Linked DNA regions of Ovis aries. The protein of the gene in region 2 interacts with the protein of the main gene of each other region in a pairwise test. Links are inferred from orthologs where the notes say so. Each region holds a gene or a part of one and is shown on either strand. Other genes may lie near its edges.

Region 1 (3,744 bases), on a different chromosome or scaffold from region 2:
ATTACATATGCTGATTAGAAGCAAATAGATCCAAGATGGTTGAGTAGTTCTAGAGCCTCAGTATATGCTCTTTGTAACAGACCAGCAAAATAAGCGACACACCCATCAGCTGGTGATGGCCCAATTCAATATAAGGAAACTTTTAGGGATAGAAAATGTAAGTGAGATCAGAACGTTTAGATAAACGGTTAAGAATGAATATGCTTTAGAAATCTCTAAAATAGTCTTTGCAATTTTGCTAACTTAAAATTCTGGAGTTGTATTAAATTGAGGAAAGTTTATTGAATAGCTGGTCATTCCCAAATAAGATACTGAAACATGAATTACTGAACAATGACTTCCTTTTACAGAGAAACTAAAGATATTTAAAACTATTAATGAATGTGTTTGGTGTCGCCCTGCGATGTTCTCAATCTGAAAGCTTTTTTTTTTTTTAGAAATTATCACTGGTATTTGTTACTAGTCTACAAAATACTAATGCAGAGGACATTAATTGCTTACTTCTTAGTTTTCACAGGAAATGAAGGTTTTAAGAGACGAGGATTATAATTTAAGTATGTGATTAAAGCTAACAGAAATAAAAAATTTTCAGCAAACAATAGGAAAGCAGGGTGTAAGTTATCAGTAAAGATGGCATGTGGAATGGAGTTGAATTTTATCGAGGGAAAAGGAAATCGGTCTGACTTAAAGCTGACTGTTTGATTGGAAAAAATAAAGTTGTTGTACAGAAAGTGGTGAACCGTTTGAGGAAAGCAGATCCCAAGAAAACAGCTTTGTGCATGATCAGGAGTGACGCGGGGCTTCCCTGGTGGTCAGCGGCAAAGAATGTGCCTGCCAATGAAGGACGCAGGAGGCACCGGATCGAGCAAAAATATTCCAGTCTCCTAATCTTGGTGAGCTTAAATCCGGCCTGTGGTGATTTCGTTGCTGTTCCTCCTTTGATTAGGAACTGTCTGACTCTTTGCGACCCCATGGACCGTATGTAGTCTGCCAGGCTCCTCTGTCCATAGGATTCTCCAGGCAAGAATACTGGGCTGGGCTGCCATTTCTTTCCCCAGGGGATCTTCCCGACTGAGGGATCGAACCCGGGACTCCCACTTTGCGGGCAGACGCTTTGCCGTCTGAGCCACCAGGGAAGCCAAAGAAACAAAAAGGGGACAAAAAGGCCTCCGCGCCCAGGAGTCCCATGGGGCGTTAGTCAGCATCCAAAAGTGTTTCCTCTGCTTTTGCGACTCTTTTCGTAGCCCTTGGGAATCACGAACGTTCGTCTAGTGTACTTCGGCTGTTACACACGTTCCCCATCACAGCCGTCTGCTGACAGCAAACTCCTGTTAACGGAAGCTCTCCGCCCGCCCCGTAGAGAGTCGCGCGCGGCGCGGGCTCTGAGCATGCGCAATAGCTTGGTCCCGCCGGGCCGCTGGCAAGCGCGCGCCCCGGCGTCTCCTCCCTCCCGCTTGACAACGGGAAGTCTGCGAACGTTAGGGCGCGTGCGCAGACGGACCGAGGCGACGGGAGGGGGGGTGGGGGTTGGGGGGACGCCTGCAGAGCGCATGGGCAGAGCCACCGTACGTCCGTTTGTCCGGATCGGAGGGGAGAGAGTGGGCGCCATCTTCTTCTGGGTTCGCTGAGGGCTCTCCCGGCTCTGGGGAGGCTGCTGCGGACGAGGAGAGCTCCCCGCCCCCAGCCTTGGGGTTCCGACTCGGCGGCAGCGGTGTGTGTTTGATCGCCCTAGTGCGAAGCAATTACCGCAGGGGCGTCGGGCGTGGGGAGGGCCTGGCGGCCGGGACCGAAGCACAGGGAAAGGCGGGGCCGCGCCAGCAGCGAGCGTAGCTTCTGCCGTCAGGGCACCCTCTTTTCCCCTGCTAAACGCACCCGACTTCCCGGCAGCCTTCATGTGGTGTTGTGCGTGCCCTTTTCAGTCGGCTTGAGAGAGTGGAGATCTGGAAGGATTCCATAGGTACTTGTTTTTCTTTGCTATGTCATCGTAGTCAGTGGTGGCAGGAAAAGCGCTTGGAGGCCTGGCTAGTTTTAGGCTTGAGGGGAGCCCAAGTGTTCAGGTGTAGGGACAGCTCACCCTTGGGCGAGTCGGGGCGGAATGTTTGCCCTTGAGCCGGTGTAACGGAAAGGCACGGAGGTTGGGTGGTCCAGGTTGATTTGAAGGCTGATTTGGCTGAAGGTCTGGCAAGAACATCGGATCCCACGTAGGAACTTTGGCCTGGAGCACAAGAAGGAAGCGCTGACCCCTGGGAGTCTGGACAAAGGCTTTTTGAGCTATAGAAGCAATGCCTTCGGATGATCCCCATTTGAGGAGGATGGATGTTAATGGGAATTCCGGTGCCGTGTGGATTCGCCTTCATTTCCAGTTTCTACTGGGGACCAGGCTCTGTCGTCATGGCTTTGGCTTTTTATTTTAATCATCTACGTTATAAAAGGATAAAAAGGCAAATCGTCATAAAGAACCCTTATGGAGTGGGGTAGATTATTTTCTGCAGGGTTCACTCTTGCATTTTAAATGTACTTCATCATAACTTTAGGTTTTAAGAAATAGCAGTTATCTCTCTCTCACCATGTCTGGAAAATGACTTGCTATTCTCTAGTTATGATAAATGGATCGGAGATAATACCATTTTAAGTTAGCTTTCCTTCCATTTCCCTCTAAGGCTTGATTAGAAAATAAGCATTTCGTGGGGTTTTTGTGATAATGATTAAGTGGGATGAATCGTTGGGTAAAATCAGCTAAGTTATTTAAAATGAGCTTGTTAATTTCAGCCACTTACACTTAAACGAGCTTTTAAGGATTCAGTTCCTTTTTTTGGGGAAAAAAAAGAAGTTGTAATAACTCACTCTTAATCAACACAGCTATAAACATGGTTTTGTTGCATTCGTAAGACGCATTTTAAGTGTTGAGTAGGGTTTTTTGCTTTTTGTGTAGTTCTAAGAATAGAATTTCTGGGGTATTTGCTTAGGAAAATCACGTGGAAACTACAGGAAAGTTGCTCATTTTGATATCTGGTTTCTTACAGGTGATCTCCTAAGTGTATTTCTGTAGAGGGATAAATAGTACATTACCCTTCTATTTCAAGGGCAAAACAGTTTAAGCAATAGTTATGTTTCGCTGTGGCAAATTAGAAGAAAAAAATTTTTTATATTTTTGAATTGGAATTCATGAATTTGTACTCATGAAACTACTTAGTTAAAATGTTTTCAAATTGGTAAATTATAAGACTTTTAAAAACTTGACAGTAATTATTTTGTGAAATGTTCTTGGCTATGTTTTTAAAAGTTTAGCAGGGATAAAATGTTTTACACTACTTGCCAAAAGTAACAGGAGCTAAGTCATTTTGCATAGGAAAGAGTCTTGGAATACTAATGTGAACAACTATTCCAGAAGCCATTTGTAGTTTTTATTAAAATGTTGGTGTGGGTTTGTTGAAGAAATTAAGCTTATACTCATTTTTGGGGTGTTTGGGGGGTACCATTGCAGATATTGTCCAATAGACTAAGTTTTAGAACTATTTTTTTTATGTTCACAGTAATATTGAGTGGAAAGTACAAAGATTTTTTATGTGTCCTATGTCTGCACCACCATTTTCATGCATTAATATTTTATAGTAAACCTCACTAATTGGAGAAGGTGATGGCACCCCACTCCAGTACTCTTTCCTGGAAAATCCCATGGTCAGAGGAGCCTGATAGGCTGCAGTCCATGGGGTCCTACTAGTCGGACACAACTGGGCGACTTCA
Region 2 (3,644 bases):
TGACTGATTTATTTGTAATGATTTTTCCATTGATTCGCTGAGGCAGAGGCAGATACATCCTCATATCATCTACAAGTAATAGTAATTTTACCATCTCCTTTCCAGCTTTTAATCTCTTTTTTCCTTTGTTTAATTGTTTACTAGCTAGTTTCTTAGAATAATAATCATGGTGTTGATAATGGGCATTCTAGTGTCATTTCTAACCAGGATTACGATCCTGCTAGTAGTAGTCTAGCTAGTAGTCTATGTTGGTGTCCAGTTTTTCTTGTTTTAAGTAGATACGTATTGGTTGCATTTAGAATACTGGGAGTTCCCTGCTGGTCCAGTGGTTAGGACTTAGTGCTCTTTAGAGTCATTATTTTATCAAAAGAGAATTATTGGGCACCTGCTGGGTATTAGGCACTAAGCTAAGCTTTGGGGAATACAGCAGTGAACCAAATAGGCGTGGTCCCTTCCCCAGACTCAATCACCAAATAAATGCACATTAAATCAGTGTTGAGCTAATTATTTTAGTTATTTCAGTAGGAGAAATTTAACAAAACAGCTGCCAGCGCTAGCAAGGTGACCATGAAACAGAGGGGCAGAGTGGTGCAGTGCCCAGGGAGCTGAAGGGAAAGAGGTCGGCAGGGACCTCAGCCCACAGGACCCTGCAGGCCTTGTAGGATCTTGGTGAGCATTTTGGTGTCTTGAGAATAAGAGGAAGCCATCGGAGGAGCATTGTGGTTGGGCTTGGTTGGCTTTGCCTTATGAAACACTCACTTGCTTTGAGGGTGGAGAGAATGAACTGGAGGAGGCCTGGGTGGAAGCTGAGGAGACCAGGCAGGGGGCTACACCTGAAGGCCCAGTGAGGGAATGGAGAGGTGGGGAAGGGAAGGAGAGAAGTGGGCTGGCTTTGAGGGAGAGGTGGTGGCAGCCTGGGAATTAGGGGTTGGCCTTAGGGATCCCTGTGGGGGTGGAGCTGAGGACCTCTTTCGGAAAGGACTGTCCTTTCATCCCTTCCTGTCCTTCTTTCCCCAGAGGGGGACGTGGAGACAGGACTGGCCGTTACGGAGCCACCGATCGTTCACAGGATGACAGCGGGGAAAACCGTAGCCGGGATCATGACTACAGAGACATGGACTACCGCTCATATCCCCGCGAGTACGGCAGCCAGGAGGGCAAGCATGACTATGATGACTCGTCCGAGGAGCAGAGTGCAGAGGTGAGGGCTGGGGGGCCGGCTCCTGCAGGGCCTTGATCTGGCTGCAGCCCCGCGTGCAGTAGCTCTCCATTCCCATGCCTTCAGACTGTGCTCAAGGGCTTTGCCTCACCTGAAGGGTCTGTCCCCACTCCCCTCTCTGAGGGCTCCTCTCCCAGGTTGGGTCTCCCTGACCTCCACATGCTTGGCTCTGTACTTCTGAGGTCCCCTGGCCACCACCTCTCTCCCTTCTTCCCTGTTCTTCAGGGTTCACTGCAAGCCCTCTACTGCCTGCTCCCAGCCAGTTTGGGGACCCAGCATCTAGGGTCAGGAGGGTACCTGGATGTCACGTGGGTATCAACAAGCGGAGTGGCTCTGGGAGGCTAAGTGTGGGCATTCCCAGTGGTGGCAGAGCCCCTAGACAGAAAGGAAAGCCCCCTCAGGACTCTCCTCTGAGCTCCAGCTAGCCACTTCCATATTGGATAGTTAGCCCTGGCCTGAGGGGAAGGCATAATGCCCACCATCAGGGAGCCCCCATCTGAGATGAAGCAGCCTTGCCTTATGCGAACCCCAGGTTGAGGGGGTACTCAGGGCCCTGGTCCACACAGGTACAGAGGAGTGGGAAGGGTACCCTTGCAACCCCAGCCCTGGGAATTAGAATATGGGCAGCCAGCCACCCTCTGGGGGTCCAGCACAAAGACCCCTATGGTGGGCAGTCAGGCTTCCTTGGTGGCAACTGTGAGCTGTGCCTGGATGTGTCCAGAGCACCGGGTGGGCCCTGGGTGGACCAGCAAGAGTGGAGAGTTGAGTTTTCGGCCCCCGTGAGGGTAGGATGGGCATGGACCCAGGCCTGCCTTGCTTAGTGCTGAGCAAAGGGTTTGGGCAATGCCCAGGAATCCCATGACCACACCCTGTTAGGAAGGAGCATGGTGGTGACGGAGGACTGGCCAGGCAGTGGATCAGGGACCGAGGGGCAGTGCTGTAGTCCTCGCAATCTTTGCCAGCCCTTGCTGGCTGACTCTGGCCGAGGTCTTAAGCGATTCCTAAACCCACAACTTGGTGACAGGGCCCAGGCTGGGAGTCTTAAGTGACATGTGGCCTTCTGTGGCACAGGGAACAATTGTGCTTGTACTAGCTGAGCTGGCGAGGGGGGAGGGGGCAGAAAGAGTGTAGGGTTTAGTGTGCCAACCTCCAACAGTCTCGTCTCAGGGACGTCTGCTCACCTGTCTGTGGGAGTTCCTCCCCGACACCAACACTGCCCCCTGCTTCTCCCCAACTCCCCATCAAAGCAGCCCCCGCAAAGCATCTGAGGGAGAATTTCAGCTCCCAGGAGGATTGCAGTTTAGGGCCTGCCCACCTTGCCTGCCCCGAGCCTTTAGCCGGAGCCCGCCCACCCCTGGCTTTCAGAGCCTGCCTGCCTCGGAGAGCCAGCGGCCAGCCCCTAGGCCCACCCTCAGACTGACTGCCCGCCTGGTGTCTCTCGTCTCATTCTGTTGGCCAGGATTCCTACGAGGCCTCCCCGGGCTCCGAGACTCAGCGTAGGCGGCGGCGGCGGCACAGGCACAGCCCTACCGGCCCGCCAGGCTTCCCCCGAGACGGCGACTATCGGGACCAGGACTATCGGACCGAGCAAGGGGAGGAGGAGGAGGAGGAGGAGGAGGAGGAGGAGGAGGAGAAGGCCAGTAACATCGTCATGCTGAGGATGCTGCCACAGGCAGCCACTGAGGATGACGTACGTGCTCCCCATGTCCCCGGGCAGGCGGCAGAGCAGGAGGCCAGGCTGGGTCCCCTCCAGGGCCCTCAGCCCCTCCCTTACCCCCCACTTCCTCGGCACCTTTCAGCCCTTCTCCCCCCAGCCCTGTCCCCCAGCACTGCTCTGCCCCCGGGGCAGGCCCCGTCATCTCCTAGTCTGGAAGGGAGGAGTGTGGCACAGGCTGGTTTGGCCAGGGAGCTGCAGCGGTGGCTGTGGGAGGGAATAGAGCATTCCTTCCACGCATTCTGCTGGTGATCATCCCTTCTGCATATGCCGATCAAAGGCCAAATGCTCACCAGGCCCGCTGCCAGATATTGCTGTGATGTGGAGACCCTGCAGGCTGGGGAGGCTCTCCATGGGATTTTCTGAGGTTTTATTCTCATTCCCTACCACCTGCTCTCTTTTGCCAGCAGCCCCGGATCTCCTCACTGGCACAACCACAGAGCCTTGAGTCCTCCTTCCTTCACTGCTGTTGCAGCCCTCCCACCCCGTCTGCCTGTGTGACATTCCCTCCCTGTCCGTACCAACTTCCCTTCATGAGCAGGAAAACCCCATGTGGGCCACTAGAATAGCCTCCTCACTACCCTACCCAGTTCTCCTCCTCCTCCTCACGGCCTGTGAAGGCTCCACTCAGCTCTCCCCTGAAACCTGCTGGCTGCCTGTGCTGTCGCAGAGAAAACCCCACCTGTGTGTCTGAGAGCTCTCAGGTCTGGC

What was found.
Region 1: the proteins of RBM10 (region 2) and RBM12B interact in a two-hybrid assay, tested with the Homo sapiens proteins (3 studies listed by BioGRID). The link is inferred for Ovis aries from reciprocal best matches to the Homo sapiens genes RBM10 and RBM12B.

The regions. Positions count from the first base shown.
Region 1 is NC_056062.1:83,453,828-83,457,571, forward strand, and holds the start of RBM12B (RNA-binding protein 12B), read left to right. Parts: upstream 1-1,577; 5' UTR 1,578-1,711; exon of another isoform or gene 1,712-1,957; intron 1,958-2,374; exon of another isoform or gene 2,375-3,744.
Region 2 is NC_056080.1:57,646,289-57,649,932, reverse strand, and holds part of RBM10 (RNA-binding protein 10), read left to right. Parts: intron 1-1,017; coding exon 1,018-1,201; intron 1,202-2,678; coding exon 2,679-2,909; intron 2,910-3,644. UniProt on the Homo sapiens protein: Binds to ssRNA containing the consensus sequence 5'-AGGUAA-3'. May be involved in post-transcriptional processing, most probably in mRNA splicing. Binds to RNA homopolymers, with a preference for poly(G) and poly(U) and little for poly(A).